Saccharomyces cerevisiae S288C: one gene and its partners. The gene in region 4 interacts genetically with the main gene of each other region. Each region holds a gene or a part of one and is shown on either strand. Other genes may lie near its edges.

Evidence for each region.
Region 1: mutations in TUB3 (region 4) and SIF2 together harm fitness more than expected from each alone (negative genetic interaction), as found in Saccharomyces cerevisiae (3 studies listed by BioGRID).
Region 2: mutations in TUB3 (region 4) and SNT1 together harm fitness more than expected from each alone (negative genetic interaction), as found in Saccharomyces cerevisiae (3 studies listed by BioGRID).
Region 3: mutations in TUB3 (region 4) and HCM1 together harm fitness more than expected from each alone (negative genetic interaction), as found in Saccharomyces cerevisiae (4 studies listed by BioGRID).

The regions. Positions count from the first base shown.
Region 1 is NC_001134.8:445,909-450,442, forward strand, and holds SIF2 (Sif2p), read left to right. Parts: upstream 1-1,800; coding exon 1,801-3,408; downstream 3,409-4,534. Other genes in the region: exocyst subunit EXO84, read right to left, coding at 1-1,415; YMC2 (organic acid transporter), read left to right, coding at 3,759-4,534. UniProt on the Saccharomyces cerevisiae protein: Antagonizes telomeric silencing in yeast. May recruit SIR4 to non-telomeric sites or repression.
Region 2 is NC_001135.5:184,142-190,873, reverse strand, and holds SNT1 (Snt1p), read right to left. Parts: upstream 4,386-6,732; coding exon 705-4,385; downstream 1-704. Other genes in the region: fatty acid elongase ELO2, read right to left, coding at 1-282; BPH1 (Bph1p), read right to left, coding at 4,851-6,732. UniProt on the Saccharomyces cerevisiae protein: Part of the Set3C complex, which is required to repress early/middle sporulation genes during meiosis.
Region 3 is NC_001135.5:227,006-231,809, forward strand, and holds HCM1 (Hcm1p), read left to right. Parts: upstream 1-2,304; coding exon 2,305-3,999; downstream 4,000-4,804. Other genes in the region: TVS1 (Tvs1p), read left to right, coding at 1-453; U2 snRNP complex subunit BUD31, read left to right, coding at 1,313-1,786; E3 ubiquitin-protein ligase RAD18, read left to right, coding at 4,495-4,804. UniProt on the Saccharomyces cerevisiae protein: Transcription factor regulating the cell cycle specific transcription of a spindle pole body (SPB) calmodulin binding protein SPC110. Required for full induction of SPC110 transcription in late G1. Binds to DNA consensus sequence 5'-[AT]AA[TC]AAACAA[AT]-3'.
Region 4 is NC_001145.3:21,548-26,309, forward strand, and holds TUB3 (alpha-tubulin TUB3), read right to left. Parts: upstream 2,137-4,762; coding exon 2,112-2,136; exon of another isoform or gene 2,017-2,111; intron 1,814-2,016; coding exon 501-1,813; downstream 1-500. Other genes in the region: PGA3 (cytochrome-b5 reductase), read right to left, coding at 1-152; phosphate transporter PHO84, read right to left, coding at 2,490-4,253; YML122C (uncharacterized protein), read right to left, coding at 4,491-4,762. UniProt on the Saccharomyces cerevisiae protein: Tubulin is the major constituent of microtubules, a cylinder consisting of laterally associated linear protofilaments composed of alpha- and beta-tubulin heterodimers.

The DNA of each region.
Region 1 (4,534 bases), on a different chromosome or scaffold from region 4:
TGCGTAGATTGCAAATATCTAAAGGACTCTCTAATACGTTTAGAGTTCTCCTCTTCTACATGGAATATGTCGCACAAATCATCCTTAGCCTTTCTTATAACGTCCAACAACCTAGAGCATTCGTCTGCGTCTCTACATTCATACAAACTTGAATTCGAATTGCTAAACTTGAAAAGTAGCCTCTTAGTGGAAAATTCCTCTTGCGTGACAGTGACATCCTTTAAAGGATAGCACTGGCTTACTATAAAGTCATTTTGCTTATCTCTTGATTTATCGGCGATAAGTACCAAATCATTCAAAATGAAAATCTGTACCATCTGCAAGGGTTTACCAGTGGTAGTATTTAATTCCATCCAATTGGCACTATTCATTAAAATATGTCTTCCTTTCGTAGAATTGATAAACTTCTGAGCACCTTCAACGTTCTTAAACAGCTGATCCAGTTCCGTATCCCAAAATTTCTCTAATATCAAGACGCTCGATCTGTCCCTCCTCATGAGATTCCCATTTTGTCCTGCTTTCAAAGGCGGAAGTAACGCTGGACTATTAGAATGACTTTCAACATTGTTAAAATTGCCTTGTCTCTCTTGATCTATTTGATCCTGCAATTGTAACCTTTTTTCAGCTATTTTGGTGCACTGATCCAAAACCTCGTTTAAATCATTTATATTTGCTCTAACCCTTTTAAGCTCCAACATAGCAACATTTAGGTCGTTGTTTACCGTCATGATTTCGTTATATGATTTATTGATATTTAACTTTACTTCTTCTTGGACCTGTATCGATAAATCTGTTAAATTTGAGGTAAATTTATCAATAGTAATGGCACTCGCATTGCCTAGTTTATCATGAACAAAATCTTTAGCATTAAAATGCGGGTTTGCCAACATCTTTCTTAGCGACGTGCTATTATTGAAAGGATCATTACTGCCGGAAGGATTGACAGTATTTCGCATTGCTGATCTAGCAGGCACCTTATTATAGGAGCTGTCGTTCAGGGAGAGATCGGCAGTTGAAAGATTTAAACTGTTGGAAGGGCCTTTAGAGCTTACCGATTCGTTCTCAGTGGTGAAACTACTATTATTATGACTACTATCCACATTATCATTGGGAACTATCATGTTTGGCATATCAGGTAGGGGCATTGAGTAATCTAGTGTAGGTGGAGCATAATTTGTATTATGAATTGATAGTCTTCTCTGCATTGAAGTTGCTACCCTACTTCTCTCCCTTGCATTGATTGTTGGTAGCGTATAACTGGTAGCCGGATCCTTGAGATCACTATAAGGGTTCTTTTTTGTTTTTTGTTTAGGCTTAGCAGGCGATGGAGGTGTCTTTTGCTTAGCAGGAGAGCTTGCAGACTTCTTTACATGCTTCCAATTGTTTCTGGCCTTCTTCAAAGAAAACTCAACCATTTTCACAGTACAAATATTTCAACTTTCAGTCTCTTACCTGGTCTAATATGAAGGCTTTTTGTTCATTCGGCTTTGCTCAAGGTCTTACAAATATACTATTAACTGCAGTCTCTAGTCTCTTTTTCCAGTCATCTATTTTCATGGAGCGGAACTTAGCAAACGAGAAATAAACAAAAATGATTAGGAATGTATTCATGTTGAAAAGGTTATGAGATATGCAAGACCATTCGTTTTGATTTGCAATTAGTGAGAACAATTTAAACACCTTGGTGCGAAATTGAAGGTTTTTTTTTCCAAAGAAGTGTACAGCCCACACTAACAACTGCTAACTCAGATAAAAATAACAGAAACAAAAAAAAGGTAGGGAAGGCCCATCACACGGAAAATGAGTATAACAAGTGAAGAACTAAACTACTTGATATGGAGGTATTGTCAAGAGATGGGACACGAGGTGAGTGCATTAGCATTGCAGGATGAAACAAGAGTATTGGAATTTGATGAGAAGTATAAAGAACACATTCCTTTGGGTACACTGGTGAATCTAGTACAAAGGGGAATCTTGTATACAGAAAGTGAGTTAATGGTTGATAGTAAAGGTGATATCAGCGCTTTAAATGAACATCATCTTTCTGAAGATTTCAATTTGGTTCAGGCGCTGCAAATAGATAAAGAAAAATTTCCTGAGATCTCTTCTGAAGGAAGGTTCACTTTGGAAACCAATTCCGAGAGTAATAAAGCAGGTGAAGATGGCGCTAGTACTGTTGAAAGAGAAACCCAAGAGGACGATACTAATTCTATTGACAGTAGTGATGACCTAGACGGATTTGTCAAAATACTGAAGGAGATAGTAAAATTAGATAATATTGTTTCCTCCACTTGGAATCCATTGGATGAATCTATACTCGCATACGGTGAAAAAAATTCTGTTGCAAGACTAGCGAGGATAGTAGAAACCGATCAAGAAGGGAAAAAATACTGGAAACTCACGATAATAGCGGAGTTGAGACATCCTTTTGCTCTGAGTGCAAGTAGTGGTAAAACGACGAATCAAGTCACATGTCTTGCTTGGTCACACGATGGTAATTCAATTGTCACGGGTGTAGAAAATGGTGAGCTAAGACTATGGAATAAGACGGGGGCACTTCTGAATGTTTTAAATTTTCATAGAGCACCTATAGTATCCGTTAAATGGAACAAAGATGGAACACATATCATATCCATGGACGTGGAAAATGTCACTATACTCTGGAATGTTATAAGCGGGACCGTCATGCAGCACTTTGAATTAAAAGAAACCGGTGGCTCATCCATCAACGCAGAGAACCATAGTGGCGATGGTTCACTTGGGGTTGACGTTGAATGGGTAGACGATGACAAATTTGTCATTCCTGGCCCTAAAGGTGCTATATTTGTATACCAAATTACAGAAAAAACGCCCACTGGTAAACTTATTGGACACCATGGACCTATCAGCGTTTTGGAGTTCAATGACACCAATAAACTTCTACTTAGTGCCTCAGACGATGGTACTCTAAGAATATGGCATGGCGGTAACGGCAATTCTCAGAATTGCTTCTACGGACACTCACAAAGCATAGTATCGGCATCATGGGTCGGTGATGATAAGGTAATATCCTGCTCGATGGATGGCTCCGTTCGCCTATGGTCGCTGAAGCAGAATACGCTATTGGCTCTATCAATCGTGGATGGTGTCCCAATTTTTGCTGGAAGAATATCACAAGATGGACAGAAGTACGCAGTTGCTTTCATGGATGGGCAGGTAAACGTCTACGATTTAAAAAAACTGAACAGCAAGTCACGAAGTCTTTATGGTAACCGTGATGGGATTTTGAATCCATTACCAATTCCCCTCTACGCTAGCTACCAAAGCAGCCAAGACAATGATTATATATTTGATCTGTCATGGAACTGTGCGGGAAACAAGATTTCTGTAGCATACTCGCTTCAAGAAGGTTCAGTTGTAGCCATATAATAACTAGGTACAGTACATAAACAGATGAATTTTATCATTCTTATTGTTATTTCTTTGTTTACAAAAGGTGAAAAGTGAAAAATTTCGCAATGGAAAACGTCGCGGGCCGCCTTTGAGTGACGTTGTGCAGGAATCTCGAAGAGTCATCACTTTGAAGATAACGGCCGCTCGCGATGAGAGAAGACAATGAGCATTGCTTTTTTATAATTTTTTATACCTTGTGTTAAAATAAGTTTCTTTAATTAGTTTTCACCTCTTGGATGATACAACTGTAATTGATAAATAGGGGTAGCCATAAAGAACAGAAAAAAGCGGCGCAATAATTTCGTGTATTACAATTACAGTTAGTCATGAGTGAAGAATTTCCTACGCCGCAGCTTTTGGATGAATTGGAAGATCAACAGAAAGTTACCACGCCGAATGAGAAGAGAGAGTTAAGTTCTAATCGTGTGTTGAAGGATATTTTTGCGGGTACCATCGGTGGTATTGCACAAGTTCTTGTAGGGCAACCGTTTGATACAACAAAAGTTAGGCTTCAAACAGCCACCACAAGAACAACAACGTTGGAGGTATTGCGTAACTTGGTAAAGAATGAGGGTGTGTTTGCATTCTACAAAGGTGCGTTAACACCGTTATTGGGTGTTGGTATATGTGTCTCAGTACAATTTGGTGTGAATGAGGCGATGAAAAGATTTTTCCAAAATTACAACGCTTCTAAGAACCCGAATATGAGCTCACAGGACGTAGATCTTTCACGTTCAAATACTCTGCCACTATCCCAGTACTACGTTTGTGGGTTGACAGGTGGTGTAGTCAATTCATTCTTGGCATCGCCCATTGAACAAATAAGAATTCGTTTGCAGACGCAAACATCTAATGGTGGAGACAGAGAATTCAAAGGTCCTTGGGACTGTATTAAAAAATTGAAAGCTCAAGGTGGATTGATGAGGGGTTTATTTCCCACAATGATAAGAGCCGGACATGGGCTTGGTACATATTTTCTTGTCTACGAAGCATTGGTTGCCAGAGAAATTGGTACGGGACTAACAAGAAACGAAATTCCTCCTTGGAAATTATGCTTATTTGGTGCATTTTCCGGGACAATGTTGTGGTTGACAGTATACCC
Region 2 (6,732 bases), on a different chromosome or scaffold from region 4:
TGGTTTCGACTTACTTAACAAAAACCTGCCACCAAAAATAATAACGTAATAGGCAGTGATGGCGTATAGCACAGGGGGCAAAGTGCTTAATGGTAATTCACCTGCAATGAATTGGAATTCGCTTGGAACAAATCTACCGTTAGTTACACGAGTGACGACATCATCGAAATGTTCCCACAACGAAATATTAAAAAATGGTCGCTCCAAAGTTGGTAAATAGTCATGAAGTTGGGGATAACGCTCGAACAACGGAGCAGCATATTGAGTAACGAGTGAATTCATGGCTTCTAGACGAAGATAATTAGTTCAACCTTTTCACTTTGTACAAAATTGCTTGTGGATAATAGTGAAATGAAAAATATTTTCCAATTTTTCATTGACTTTTTCGCGATGTTTATTTCTCTGTGGGTTTTGCGATTTTCAGCAATGGCCGCACGCCAGGACATGTGAATACGTACAAAAATAAAATGTGACATATTTACACGACACTTAAATAAAGTCGTTTAAAATCGGAAAAAACTGTATAATGCAGAAAAAATACGAAATTACAATTATAATTAAAAACTCCTCCCTTTATATATATACATATATATATATATAATATAGTACACTAACACACGTAAGGTAATGTATGCTCGAGAGTTTCACCAACCATTGGATGGAAAAGAAGTAGAGCATATGTATTGCCCGTCTCAGCCGTTTGTTCAATTATTATTTTCCTTTTTAGATAAAAAACTGCTCATTGCATCTGGCGCGGAGGCAACCGCAGCCAAAGCTGCCAACGGATCATTCGAAAAATTGAACTTTGGAGGCGCACGACTTATTGGACTAGTGCGAGGGGCCGGTAAAGGGAAAGTAGGAGTGCCTTGAGAAATAGCATGCTGAAATGGCAGCAACGGCCTTCCATCTGGGTTTGATTGCCCATTCCCATTTACAGGATTTAGTAATGCAGAAATAGAACTCGATCTTGGCGTAGTAATATTCGGTTTTATTTCTTGTACTACAATATTGTTCATGCTGGGAGTGTCTTCGAGCTGTGCTTCGTGTCTTGAAGCGCTTTGGAAAGAAGATTTCATGCTTCGATCCGAATTATTCAATAGATTGCTGATTGTCGTCGATTTACGGCCAATGTCAATTGCATTCCTTTCATTACTGAAGTTTTGATTATTTGTTACTGACGAAGCTGCATCAGCCAACGTGTCAATATGGTCTAAGGGCCTGTTACGCAAATCTGTCACTGTAGGTTCTGCCATTTCTGAACGAGGAAACTGAATAGATGGTAGTCTTGGTGGTGGTAAAGTGGTTAAAGGAGCACTAATTTTAGAAAAGGTATCACGATGAAAATCAGGCCCAAATGGTCTTATAGAGCCATCGATAGATGAAATAGATGTATTATGCCCATGAGTTGGTTGTCCAACAAAATAACCCAAAGCCGGTCTTTGTTGAGGAGGAATATTACTATAGGCATTGATGTTTGGTCGTTCTGGTTGTATCAAAATTTGAGATTGTTGTACAGATTCTGAACTAGTCCCATCTCGCTTTAAGTCGGTTTCATCAACCAGTAATTTCCATCCATTGCGAGCTGCATTTCTTTGGTAGTAATTCCTTACCATTGTAGTAGATTTGGTACCCAGTTTTTCTGATATGAGAGACCATTGAGAGCCAAACTCCTTCAACAATTCTGGAAAGAGTTGAGATTCACGAACACTCCAATAACTTGTTTTATGCTCTGGTGCAGATTTGTGTTTCTTTCTCTGTAACGCATTCTCTAAACTGAAGTCAAGTTCTTTGGTCTCCTCTGGATAATAACCATTCTGAACAGCTCCTTTTGGATCCATTATTTGTACCCCATTGTTGGTTTCTATTACACTGGACTTATTGCTCTCTTCTCCAACTTCATCATGCGCCCTTTTTAAGTCGTTTACCCTCTCAGCATTTTCCAATTCACCTGCAAACTCTTCGCCTCTCTGTTCAATCATATTTTCAACTTTTTCCGGTGTACCTAATGGATCACCTTTCACTTCAGAACCTTGAACTAGAACCGGCTGAACATTTTCCTCGGCATTGTTCTCACTTTTTTCTTCCTTCTCTATCGTGTTCGTTGACTCTTCTTTACTCTCATCAACTTCGACTTCCTCGTCATTACTTCTTTCCTTCCTCTTGCGGCGCTTGGCAGCGGCTGACATTTTTCTTTTCTTGTTCTTATCGATAAGAAGTTGTTTATAATTCACAGTTTTCTTTGTTCTATAATAATGTAGGACACACTCTTCAGGACTTCTTAAGCCGCCCATGTAGTGAGAAATTTTACCAAATTTTTTAGGATGAATTAAATAACCCTCCAAAAATAAAGAGTGCTCATGGTCAGTAAAGTTGTCAGAGGCGTCTTTCAATATTCTAGACGCCCAAAGCTTTTTGTCTGTAACCAAGTTATTTACATCACAGAATTTGTAAGAGTGTTTGCGGATTGGATCTAAAATTAGCGGAGGAATTGTTGCAGCAGCCTGATAATGTTTATAATTTGGGTCGATTTGTAGCAATACATTTTCCATTTCCGCATCATCAACGAAGTCAGCCCTATTTCTGCGACGAGATGAGGAAGACGAGGATGGATGCCGTAAGCTTTTTTCCTTTTCTGTTTCGATACCTTCTTCACGTCTTTTCTGCTCCATTAGTTCGTGCTCTTTACGTTTATTTTCGATTTCTTCCTTCCTTAAATTTTCACTCAGTTTAGTCAAAATTTCGCATTCTTTTTCATACTTCTTCTGGAGATCGAAATAATCATGTTTTAAATTTATTTTTTTCAAATGTTCTTCCTTTTTTATCTTTGATATAATTTTCGTCAAGATAAGTCCGGTAGCCTGCTGATGTATAAGTTTGTTCTGTGCGTAAAAAGGATACTCTGAGAAATTCCTAATTGCCTTTTTCAGTAAGTACTTTTGTTCACTTATTATTTTGTTTCTTTTCTGGTTTTTCAATTCCCATAATCTCGTTTCTGCTTTTGGTAATGGGAAAATACACCCCTCCACTTTTTCAAGAGGTTCTTCGTAACTTTTATTATCATTGTCTACTGTCAACTTTGTTACGTCTGTTTTCAGGGCTTTCGGATCGTATGCTCTTTCATAATCTCTAATTTCTGGGCTTTCCTTCCTTTCAACAGAGCGTGTTAGTTCCTTTTGACTTTCTTTGGAAACTTCGACTGCACTGGCCACTGTTTTTGCCGTCGTCCAAATTTCGTCCTGCTTTCCATCAATATTGATTTTACTTACTTTTTTAGCGCGAGCTTCTAGTTCATCATGCTCTTTCATTTTTACAGGAGTAGGATGTTCCTTTGCTATCTCACGCCCACTTTTATGTACTTCTTTTTTCCCCAATGCATCTTCTTCGCCAACCTTGATATTATCGGGTTCTAAAGGTGCATTAGGTTTAGAAACTGATTTTCTTGGTGGAAAATTGTTATCATGGTACGATATGGCTTTTGTCTCATCTTTACTGGGTGTTTCAACTTTAACTGAAGCCTCTGGTTTGTCCAATTTATTCGCATCGTGAAATTTTTTAGTATGAAGGGAAGGCGATGACTGTGAATGAGTTGATTTTAAAATAGTAGTACTATTTGCTTTCCAAAAAGGTTCCCTTTGATGGATCGAGTTAGTATTGCTGGTGGTCGTCATATTGCCGACATGATTATCAAATGGTGGTCTGGAAGGCGTTCCAATGGATCTCCATTTGTTGCTCCTAGAGTAATAAGAATGAGGGCTGTTATTATTAACAGATGAAACATTATTTGTTTCGAGCTTGTTCGTTACATCAGGACTATAATCATCCATTGATCGAGGTCTCCGAGAACTCCCGTTGGCAACATAAAACGGTGGAGCGTTTGATAATGCCGAGGGAAAGTGGGTAACGTTTGTAGAACTAGTAGATTGAGGATTATATCTGCTCATGGTTTTTCGAGAATAGCGTGAGTTTCCGATATCCGTATTGGTGTGTGTTATGGTGCTCGTATTCATACTTTCCGGAGTTGAACTAGTGGTTGAAGAGGATCTTTCCACATCTGGGTTATAACGGCTTCCAATTTTTCTTGTTGACGAATAAGATGATGACGAAGGCCTACTGACTGAGCTCGGATCATATCGAGATGGCCTGGGTGCTTCGATACCAAACGTGCTTCCAGGTGCCGCTGTAGGAAGAGGTACAGATGCAGTACTGGGAGTTACAGACGGATTTGTTGAATTATCGGCAGTAGGAGAAGATACAAATCCATTATTGCTTGATTTTGGAAAGCTATTCTTGGAATAAACAGCGGAAGGATGCCTTCGGTTAGGATTATTGGAATAATGGTACCTTTTCTTATCTCCAAGCCTTCGTGTAGGTGGCGGATACCCCATGTTTCTTACGCTTTGTTTCTGTTTGCTGTTCTATGCACAAGTTAGTAGGCAAATTATTAAGCAGGCCCTTTCGGAATAATTTAGTGGTTGTATATTTTGCTTGTTAAGGATTCGAGCAATATGACGGCTTCTTTCCCACTGCCTGTCTTAAACAATGAGTAAATTTGAAGGTGGTGCACAAAGTCAATAGTAATCCGAATTTCTGGTCTCTATTAAATCTGCGGTTGCGTTTTGATTTTTACATAATTCAAAGAAGAATTAATCGTTTGTTTTTTTCTTTTACCCTTTTGCCGTTTTCCATAGGCGAAATGGAGAAGAAATACTAGAAAAAAATACCCGGCGTTGGTAATGATATTGGATACGTACGCAATTACAATACTAGATGGGATGAGAAATCAGTTTCAAAAGTAAAGATATAAACTACAAAAATTGAATCATTTAAAGAAAGGCGTTACGATGTGATGCCTAGTACCAAATAGCTAATCTGCCATCTAATGTTCCCGCAATCACTTCTATCTCATGAGGCTCTGCTGTATCCTTGCGTCTTTTCTGGGACAGGTATGTCTTCCCCTGTCCCTTAATGCTAGTTATGGCTTTCCCTTTTTCGGTACAGAGCTGCTTCAGTAGCTTTATCGCCCATTCATTATGAAAATTCAAAAAGAGCTCGTAAATTTCTATAGTTCCATCTTCAAAGCCCACTAGTAGTATTTCCATCTCTTTCCAATAGATATGCTTTCTGTAACCTGCGTCTAACTTAGTGAAGTCAAAAAAATCAATTGAGCTTACAATTTTAGCTGGTTCGAATTTCTTTGATGTATATATTTGTCCATTTAGATTGAAGATCGAAATGGCGTTATTCTTAGTCAATACCATAATGCTCCCTGCATGTTGAGATATTGCGACCTTTTGCGCATCATTTGTTATTTGCCTTACTAGTTCGAAATTAATCATGTCCCAGACATATACTAAGCCGCTGATGTCTAAGGTTAAAAGCGTATTGTAGTCGTGATAACAGCGCATCTCCTTTAGCTCGCATAGGTGCCCAAACATTGTTTTTTTGTTCTCAAGGTTACCTGAAACCGAATGCTTATCTTTACGATATTTCCAAACTTTTATCAGCCCATTTTTATCGCCAGTTATGAATTCGCCCAACTTCCAGTACGCAAACGATGTAATCTGAGCCATATGCGTCTTTTTAAAAATATCTAGTCCAATTTTTAACCAATTTTTATGCACAATTCTCAATGACACTAACGATTCTTCCGTTCTGAAAAACAAGTTTGGGAAAGCGAAGCCCCTCCAGTATAATGAATCGAAGTAACTAGGATCGTGTATAACATAATCGACGGACCTGTTCTTTTCATTCAAATTAAAGATTGTCTTCTCAAATATTGGCTTCATTGGAACCTTACGCCATACCTCTGTTGTTAGCTGTTGAACATTGCAGGCTATTTTTTCCGGATGAGGTTCCTGAAATATTTGTAAAGGCGTTTGACCAAAGTTGTGAATAATGCCTGTGATAGCTCTGCGCTCATTTTCATCGTCAATGTTATCTAGATTTACAGCGCCTGGGTAACTCAATCTGTTGAATACGTTAACAGATTTCACAGCAATGTCCCCCTTTTGTTTGTAACCAAATATCAAATCAATCCATTCATGTAAATGTGCTGATACATAAGGACTTTCTAAAGCTTCTCTATTCTTTTGAATGAAAACCTTTGGGTCACCATTTGCCCAGGGTGGAAGTACGACGTCGTCAACTTTTTTACCGCTTTGGTCTGTACCAAAGTCATAACTATTAACGTTGATCAAAAATTCAGGTAGAAAAAAAAATTCAGGTGTCAATTCCCTGACATCCGTTGTATTTTCAGAAGAAGCAGAGCTCCAGGCCCTTTCAAGCGAACTAAATAAACGATCTGCAGGGCCAAAACTTCCGCCTTGCAATAACAAAAAGGATTCGACAAAGGGCTTCAGCCTTATCAGATATGAAGATACTATCATAGCTGAGGAATAATGCGTGCCATAATGAAATGGTGCGGAATCAGCATTTTCCAGGGAAGCCAAAGCTTCATAACGCTCTATAAACTGTAATTTCCTTTTCTCACTTTGAGCGCCCATAGGTTTCGATAGGTCCCGGTAAGTTTTAGGATTCTCTAAATCGAGTACGTTACTTTCGTAATCTGCAATAACCCACGGAAACACTGGATATTGGGTCAAATCGTTGAATGACCTTCCCGCTAGGATGTTGATACTCAACAGGTAATAAAAATTAGAAATCTCTCCCCTAACCCATTTTTTGCTGATCTCAAATCCATCTATTAGGCTGTTGTTCGCTGAGAAGACGCTA
Region 3 (4,804 bases), on a different chromosome or scaffold from region 4:
AAACGGCCACAGACCGATGTAGTTGCTGCCACACCGGGGTACTCTCCAAACCCGTTCCCCGCTTTCACCATATTTTGGACTGGGATTCTGATGTCCCAGCACGCACAGTCCTCGCAATTTTCTACTACCATTCACACGCAATGGGGATACTTGTTGTCCTATGGGTCCTTCTTCCGTCTGCTAACATTTTTGATTCTGTTTTTGGTGCCCAACACCAACAGTGCCGCATCCAAGCCTTTCACGGAGTTGATCACCTCGTTCTGTCTCCTCTGTGGTGGTCTGGTATTTATGGAGTCCACGGATCAGTCCATTGAAGCCATGGAATATAGGGGGTTTACCCCCATGTTCACTTTCAACCTCAGTGTTGGATTCGTTTCTTTGTTGATGGCTTGGGAAATGATTTTATTTATTTGGAAAGACTGGCTCATCAAAACCAGGAAAACCAGTCTTTAACCGCCATAATGGCTTTTCTTTTTTCTTTTTTTTTTCACCCCCCCCTCATCTTTGAGTGAGAAGCTTATATGCTTTACTTTTCCTCACCTACTTTTTAATTCTTAATTATTAGTTTATCCAGCATTCAGTCAATTCTGAATGCGTTATCGCTTCCTCAAAATTTATAAAAATGAATAAGCAAGATCTCATTGGAATTGAGTTCAATGACGATTATTGAGGGCCCATACCTGATAAAAGTGAATATATTATGTATAATGACTCTACTGGAGGTTCTCTCTGAGAATGTAAAATAATCCACAAAAGACATGAAAATTAGTTACTCTACATAATGTATAATAAGTTCTTCCTTCCTTTTTTCTTTTTTTAGTTTTTCTACTCACCATCCTACCTACGCCAAGCTGCTCTACTGTCTTGGATCTGTGAAAAAACGCCTAGAAACATGTATAAAACCTACCGCTTTAAACCATAATTTCAAATCGAAATGGCACTATGGCCGAGTGGTTAAGGCGAGAGACTCGAATGGAATAAAAAGTTCGGCTATCTCTTGGGCTCTGCCCGCGCTGGTTCAAATCCTGCTGGTGTCGTTTAATTTTTTTTAAATAACATCGTTGATTAAAACAATCCTATTCACTGCAGTCACAGACTTAGCACATTTACAACCAGTACAAGATCAATCACACGCGTTGTGGTAGGAACTTTGACGATGATACTGCGTTGGCTCTTGAACGCATAGTACATTTGTCGTTCACAACGGAAAGTGAAATACTGAAAAAAAAAGAAAAATTTTCTTAGGGACTCATCATCAATGTAAACACCTCTACAGCCGTCAAGACTAGCAAAGCTCACCTCACAAAACGACATGCCGCGCATAAAGACCAGAAGATCCAAGCCTGCACCTGACGGGTTCGAAAAAATCAAGCCAACCCTCACAGATTTCGAAATCCAACTCAGAGATGCCCAAAAGGACAAGTCGTCTAAGCTCGCAGCAAAGTCCAATGAGCAGCTCTGGGAGATAATGCAACTCCACCACCAGCGCTCTAGATACATATATACTCTGTACTACAAGAGAAAGGCCATCTCCAAAGACCTTTACGATTGGTTGATAAAGGAAAAGTATGCTGATAAATTGCTAATTGCCAAATGGCGCAAAACCGGGTATGAAAAACTGTGCTGTCTGCGCTGCATTCAAAAGAACGAAACTAACAACGGTAGCACTTGCATCTGCAGGGTGCCTCGTGCACAGTTAGAGGAAGAAGCACGCAAAAAGGGCACACAGGTGTCCTTCCATCAGTGCGTCCACTGCGGCTGCCGTGGATGTGCAAGCACAGACTAACGACTATATGCACGTTGCAGTATTGTTCTGGCCATGTAATTATCTCTCTCCCAACGTTTTAGAAGAGGTTTTCGTCTCCTTCGTCAAAGACGACCACTTTCCCATTTTGGTCATTGGAACGCGAAAAAACAAAACAGACGCGAGAACGCGACGCGAAAAAATATATTTTTCCGTTTTTTTTTTTTTTCGGAACAAAGATAACGCGTTAAAACCTGTGGATGTAATAAGGATCTGAAACACTGACTAAAACGCGTCCTCATTTAAAATCAAAAAATTACTTCTTCTCCTCCCTTACGGTGCCCTTTGATCCTTCTCAAACTTTAAATATATGTTGCATGATTAATTGAAAATCATATAGAGTATATCTTAACAGAGGTTCCAACGCTTTAAATCGTATTCTATTCTTTTCCCCCCTTTTATTATAGTTACATCTACTATTTGAGCTTCTTTTATTGACCGAAACTACCTCTTATTTCGAAGCAAAAAAAAAAAAAATCAACAAAAATTCCAACTTTTCAATGATGAATGAAGACATATCCATCATTGATGGCCATAATAGTTTTTTAACGGAAAAAAGCACCGTGCTATTAACCCAAGCCAAGAGAACACTAGAAGACGAAAAGGAAATGATTACTCCCCCGAGCTCAACTGTGAGAAAAACAATGAAGGAAGTAAATAAGAGGCCGTCGCATCCCCTCTCACCGGATCACTCGTCCCCAATTGCTCCATCTAAGGCCAAGCGCCAAAGATCGGACACATGCGCTCGGTCCAATGGTAACCTAACCTTGGAAGAAATTCTTCAATCTTTGGAAAGAAGAAGAATAAATGGTGAACTCGCCAAGAAACCTCCATATTCGTATGCAACTTTGATTTGCTTGGCCATTTTGCAATCTCAGGAGGGAAAGCTAACGCTATCCCAGATATATCATTGGATCCACGTTCACTTCCCTTATTACAAGCAGAAAGATGCTAGTTGGCAAAATTCAATAAGACATAACTTGTCTTTAAATGATGCGTTCATCAAGACTGAAAAGTCCTGCGATGGTAAGGGTCATTTCTGGGAGGTCAGACCGGGTGCCGAAACAAAATTTTTCAAAGGTGAAAATCGTGGTTATGAATTTGTAAAGGACTCCTTACAAGACATTGGGAAGTATTTTGAAATAGATTCTACACTTGATGAATTAGAACAAGTTGAGAGTGGAGAAGGCAATGATGATCTTCCTGACGAGGAAGAAAGAGAGGAAGCAGGGAAATTCCCTTCCATTGAAATTCAATTGAACTCCTCCCCTATACTGAGAGTTTCCCAGTTACATCACATACCGCAATTGAAAACAGACAACAGTGTACTGAACCCTCACGAAAACCTAGAATCGATGCGGAACATGATAGAAAACGATGTCAACAATATAGATTCCTTGGAACCTCCTTATGTCATGAAGAAATATCATACTTCTTTAGGCTTACCGTCGCTGGTGAATGCCAAAGATCATTTCCAGGCGGGTGTGAAAAACAATAATATCACCCAGGCAAATAGATTTAATACACTCCCTATAACTAGCGCAAAGTCTCCTCAGAATTTCAGAAAATATTTCACCTCATTCAATTCAAATTTTGAAGATTTATCTCCACTTCGAAGTAATGTAGGGGCTGGTTCTCTACTCGACCCACTTCCGTATTCCCCATTGAAGCTGTACGATCAGAAAAATCTTGCGCTCATGTCGAAACCACAATCTCAGCAATCATATTCCAATTCTCAACTTCCACCTCCACCTTCCTCTCATGGTTCGGACTTACTTAAAACACCCAAGATGAGGCATTCCGATGGCTTAGAGAAAACCCCATCGCGGTTGATAAGCACACCTAAGGACGGTAACTCGATTTTGAGGAAATGGCAGACTCCTTCACACCTTTTTGAAGATTTGTACTGTTCTCCGCTATTTAGAGCTATAGAGACTCCAATCAGGTATATCACGACGCCGGGGGGCACTTTGGAAACCCAAATTTCACCAAGAAAGTCCTCTGCACCCGATGTCCTCACAAGCGCAACGAATTCCAAATTTGCTTCAAGCGGGCTGTTTGGCGTGGATGTTTATTCTGTTTGGAAGCGCGCAACTGAAAAGATTTCTGATGGTAACAATACTACGGATAGCAATCAAAAACATCATCCTTATCATAATCACCCTTCCAACGATAGCGGTAATGAAAAGAATTGACTTTTTTTTTTTTTTTTTTTCATTTTCTTTTCCTCACCGAAAACTAATTATTCTTAATCTGATGGATTCATCGCAAACGGTTGGATGAGTCCTAAACTGGGCTGGAGTTATCATATCACATAGCATTTTCTTTTTAATCTTATTGTATTGTCGGGTCAACTAACTTCTTTTCCCGCTCTTCTATGGTATAATCAATTGCAGAAGAGGCAGGAAAAAATTGTAATCATAACAAAAATGATACAAATTTTTTTTCTAAGTTTTATATTTTACATATCTTTATTTTTGATCCTTACGGATTTTTAATACAGTATTTAGCTGAAGTTTCCATTCACTTCACTTACCTTTTTGATCTCTTTTATTTTTACTTGCCCCGTTGCCTTGCATTTTTCAATAGAAAGTGAAAAACTAAGTACCACTTGAGCAATGCCACATTAGAAGAAAAACCATCCGCAAGTGAGCATCACAGCTACTAAGAAAAGGCCATTTTTACTACTCATGGACCACCAAATAACCACTGCAAGCGACTTCACGACTACTTCAATACCGAGCCTGTACCAATTGGATACACTTTTGAGATGTCACATTTGTAAAGATTTTCTAAAAGTCCCCGTCTTAACACCTTGTGGCCATACATTTTGTTCCCTTTGTATTAGAACACATTTGAATAACCAACCAAATTGTCCTCTCTGCCTTTTCGAGTTCAGAGAGTCCTTGCTGAGAAGTGAGTTCCTGGTCAGTGAAATAATTCAAAGTTATACATCCCTACGATCTTCCTTACTAGATGCACTAAGGATACCGAAGCCTA
Region 4 (4,762 bases):
ATGAAGAGAATGGGTAAACTCCACAGGATTTTCAATTCACCAGACATATACGTGGTGATTGCAACACCAACAACGAATAGCGCGGCAGGAATATAGATCCCGTGGACAGGTTCGTCTAGAATGTTAGTTCCTTCTATGTCTTCTTTTGACATTTTCTTCACGCGGTTCTTGGAGTGCTTCCTTTTTTGTGATAAGTTTGGGTGGCAACGAGATGAGCTCAAAACTCTTTGTTTTTTATGGGTATTTTTGTCTTAGAATATTTTCAAATTTTTCAATATTCCGCGGAACATAGGGAAAAAAATAAATTTAATAAGCTATTGTTCTAACTGTACACCTAAAGGTAAGTGAAAAATAATTCGATAATTAGAGGTATCTTTATTTGGATAGAATATGCATATATATATATAAGCGTATATATATATATATATATATATGTATATACATATGGACATTAAGTAAATATAAATCTATAAGTGGGTATCGGGATCAGAGCCACTTTCTTAGAACTCCTCAGCGTAAGAATCGGCACCCACTTCAATATAATCTCTTTCTAAGGCAGCTAAATCTTCTCTAGCTTCGGTGAACTCACCTTCTTCCATACCTTCACCGACATACCAATGGACGAAAGCACGTTTGGCATACATCAGGTCGAATTTCTGATCGATTCTCTTCCAAGCGTCCGCGATGGCAGTGGTGTTGGATAGCATGCAGACAGCTCTATCCACATTGGCTAATTCGGAACTTGGTATCACACTTGGTGGCTCATAACAAATACCAATCTTAAATCCTGTTGGACACCAATCCACCATTTGTACTGTTTTTTTATTCTTCACCTGTTCGACGGCTCTTTGGACATCTCTGGTCACCACGTCACCTCTGTATAACAAACAGTTAGCCATGTACTTCCCCTTTGTTGGGTCACACTTAACCATTTGATTGCCCGGTTCGAAACAAGCGTTTGTGATTTCTGACACGGAGTTGGATTCATGGGTGGCCCTCTTCTTGGACAAGATGGGTGCGTAGGAAACCAAAGGGAAATGAATTCTTGGATATGGTACCAAGTTGGTCTGAAATTCGTTCAAATCCACGTTTAATGAACCATCGAACCTCAAAGAGGCTGTAACAGATGATATCACTTGGGCAATCAACCCGTTCAAGTTGCTGAAGCTTGGTCTAGAAATTCCCAAGTTCCTCTTGCATATATCGTAAATGGCTTCGTTATCGACCATAAACGTACAGTCTGCGTGTTCCAGGGTGGTATGCGTGGTTAAAACCGTGTTGTAAGGTTCCACGACGGAAGTAGACAATTGAGGCGCAGGATAAACGGCGAATTCCAATTTGGATTTCTTCCCGTATTCATACGATAAGTTTTCTAATAACAGGGAACCTAAACCGGAACCAGTTCCACCACCGAGGGAGTGGGTGAACAAGAACCCTTGTAAACCGTCACATTGGTCGGCCATCTTTCTAATTCTTTCTTCAACTTCATCCACTATTTCTCTACCCACTGTATAATGGCCTCTTGCGTAGTTATTGGCGGCATCTTCCTTACCGTTAATCAATTGTTCTGGATGGAAAAGCTCCTTGAAACGTCCTGTACGTACTTCATCGATAACATTGGGCTCTAAATCCACGTAGATTGCTCTTGGGACGAATTTTCCGTACCCCGTTTCATGGAAGAATGTAGAAAATCCTTCTTCACCTCCCTTAGGTTTTGACAAGCCATCCTCCAAATGGCCGTCTTCCTTGATGCCATGCTCTAGGGAGTACAATTCCCAGCATGCATTACCTATTTGACAACCTGCTTGACCAACTGTTGTAAAAAAGAAAAATAACAAAAGTTCCAGCAATCCTCCGAAGAAGAAGACACAAAAATCACTCCCCATGTAATGAGGTCAATTATGAGCTTTTTCGTCCGAGTATGCCCAGAAAAAATGGAGAAAAAGAAACTGTTAGTAAACTGTGCTGGTACAAGTCAAATTATTTGCCGTAAATCAACCAGATGGTGACCAATTGGGAATGAATCAAACCAGATCAGATCAAACTTCTTTCCCTGTCCCACAGGTGCCATTGGTTGCGAATATTGAACAAAAAAAGGAACGCATACATACCATTAATACTAATGACCTCTCTCATTGTCTCAAGTCGCTTGCTTAGTCGATTAATGTACTTTATGAGATACCTGATCTGTGTTTATATTTCTTTTAGATGTGCAATTTGTAAAACGTTTCGTGGTTTCCAGAGGCTCGAGAAATGATATGTCGGGTAACGTCTGGAACTAAAAAAGAAAGGACGATATGCTCTGCTCTGGCACCAGCCAACAGGATGGCAGAGAGATGTGAGGAAATAATGAAATTAAAAGAAATTATCGAATAAATATGTAACCTGACAGTATTTATAGATTATGTAAGGGGTTTGATAATAAGTTTATAAAAATGTTTTTGTATTATTTGTTCTAGTTTACAAGTTTTAGTGCATCTTTGAGGCTTTTATGCTTCATGTTGAAGTTGAGATGGGCTGGAAGATTCAATGTCATTATTCTTGTTTCTGAAGTTTAGCGTAGCAGGATCGATTTCATCGTGGTATAGCTCGTTAATTTCTTCTAGAGTCTTTCTCTTAGTTTCTGGGATCAACAAGGTTGTGAAGATACCCAACAACATGAATAAGGCGAAAATTTCCATGACGTGAGGTAACCAACAGTTGGTTGGCTTACCGTCTCTAGCACAGTTATGGTCGATTAGAGTACCCAAAGCGGTTTGTGCAATAATGGCACCGACCTTACCAGATGCAGCAGAAATACCATGAGCAGTAGATCTGTAACGAGTTGGGAAACACTCACCAGGAACAATAAAGGTGGTTGTGTTTGGACCGAAGTTTTGGAAGAATTGACAAATGACGTAAAGAGCCAACAGACCATGGTCACCAAGTTTATGGTATGCGAAACCGATGACACAGAACAAAGCGGTCAAGATGATGAAACCGGCTAATTGAATTGGTTTTCTACCGATTATATCGACAGTGAAGACGGATACCCAGTAACCAGGTAATGAACCAGCACAAATCAAAATCAGATTACCGACAGCAGTATCATACAGTTTCTTGTAAACGTTTTTGGAACCGGCATAACCGATGGTTTGCAGAATAACAGCACTGTTTAAACTCAACCCGTAGAAAGCAACATCTAAGGTAAACCATGAACCAGCAGTACCTAGCAAAATCTTACCGTACTTCCATTGACCAAAATGTCTGCAGAAATCTTTGAACGAAGCCTTTGGAGGATGATTGTCAAGAGATTCGACGGCAGTAGAAGCTCTTTCCAAACCGTTAATTGCCATGTCTTCATCACTGGTGTCGTGAATTTTCTTTTCGCCATCTTGTTCTTGTGCGGCAGCAGCAAGTTCCAACTTAGCGTTAACATCCAATTGATATCTAGGAGATTCTGGAATAGTTAATCTGAAATACAAACATGCCAACCCTAGAACGGTACCCAACCCAATAAGGATTCTCCACATTTGGTCACAAGCCTTTTGACATCTAGCATCACATTCAGCACCAGAGTTTGCGTATTCTAGTTCGCCCTTGTAAGCAGCAACCAAGATAAGAGCGATGATACCACCGGAGATTTGACCCCAAGCTTGGTTAGCAAAGACAGCACCCATGATGGCACCTCTCCATTTGGTAGTGGCAAATTCAGAAGTAATAATAGAAGATAGTGGGTAGTCACCACCGATACCAATACCCATGACAATACGGTAGAATGTTAAAACAGCAACGAAGTTAATAGCAGGAGAATGAGCAACAGTGGTTTGCAGAATGGTACAGACAATCATGATAATAAGTTCCATACCATAAATTCTCTTACGACCAACAATATCAGCTAAAGTACCAAAACCAAATTGACCAATAACAGTACCAACAGAAGTGGAAACCTTCAACAAGGTTTGACTTGGACCTGGCATACTACCGTGCCAGTAAACGTAGGACATCATAGTGATACCCAAATTAATGGCAAAAATATCATAAGAATCTGTCAAGAAACCAACACCAGCAATGGAGATGGTCTTAACTTGTTGCCAACCGAAACCTTCGTCATCGATGGACTCCAAAGCCAATCTTCTTCTTTCCAGAGGATCTTCAATATGAGCAAAATCATTCAAATGGTTGTGGAAGGCCATGTTACCACCTTCGGTAAGGTGTTCTTTATGAAGACTTCTTTCAGCAACATGAATAGTATCTTTATTGACGGAACTCATTTGGATTGTATTCGTGGAGTTTTGTTTGTTGTGTGCCCTGGTGATCTACGAGATGAGGAAAGATAAAATTTAGAAGTGAACTTAGAACTTTACTTTATACAAGAGATGAGGATGAGCTTATATATATACGTATACGAGCCACAATAGTAAGTGGATCTAAGTTGGCATTACCGGTGTGCAATGTGGTTGCATCATGCTGCCAAAAAGGAATAATAATTAGCTCATAGATGAGGTCGGTTAATTAATGAGTAATACGCACGTTTTTAATCTAGCTAATAAGCAGGCAAAACGGGAGAAGAGGGATAAGGAAAGCCTTTCACACGACATTTGGTGCATAACTGCACCGATCTCACTGATTTCGATGGACTGCGGCGAACCATAATCAATTGCCGTCGCTAATTTCCGCCCCACGTGCTGGAAATAACACGTCCACGTGGAACTATTAAATTGGCATCGGGCGGTGCGGCAGTGAGAGGAACGGGTGTTTTTCAGCCGGGCAACATTTTCTT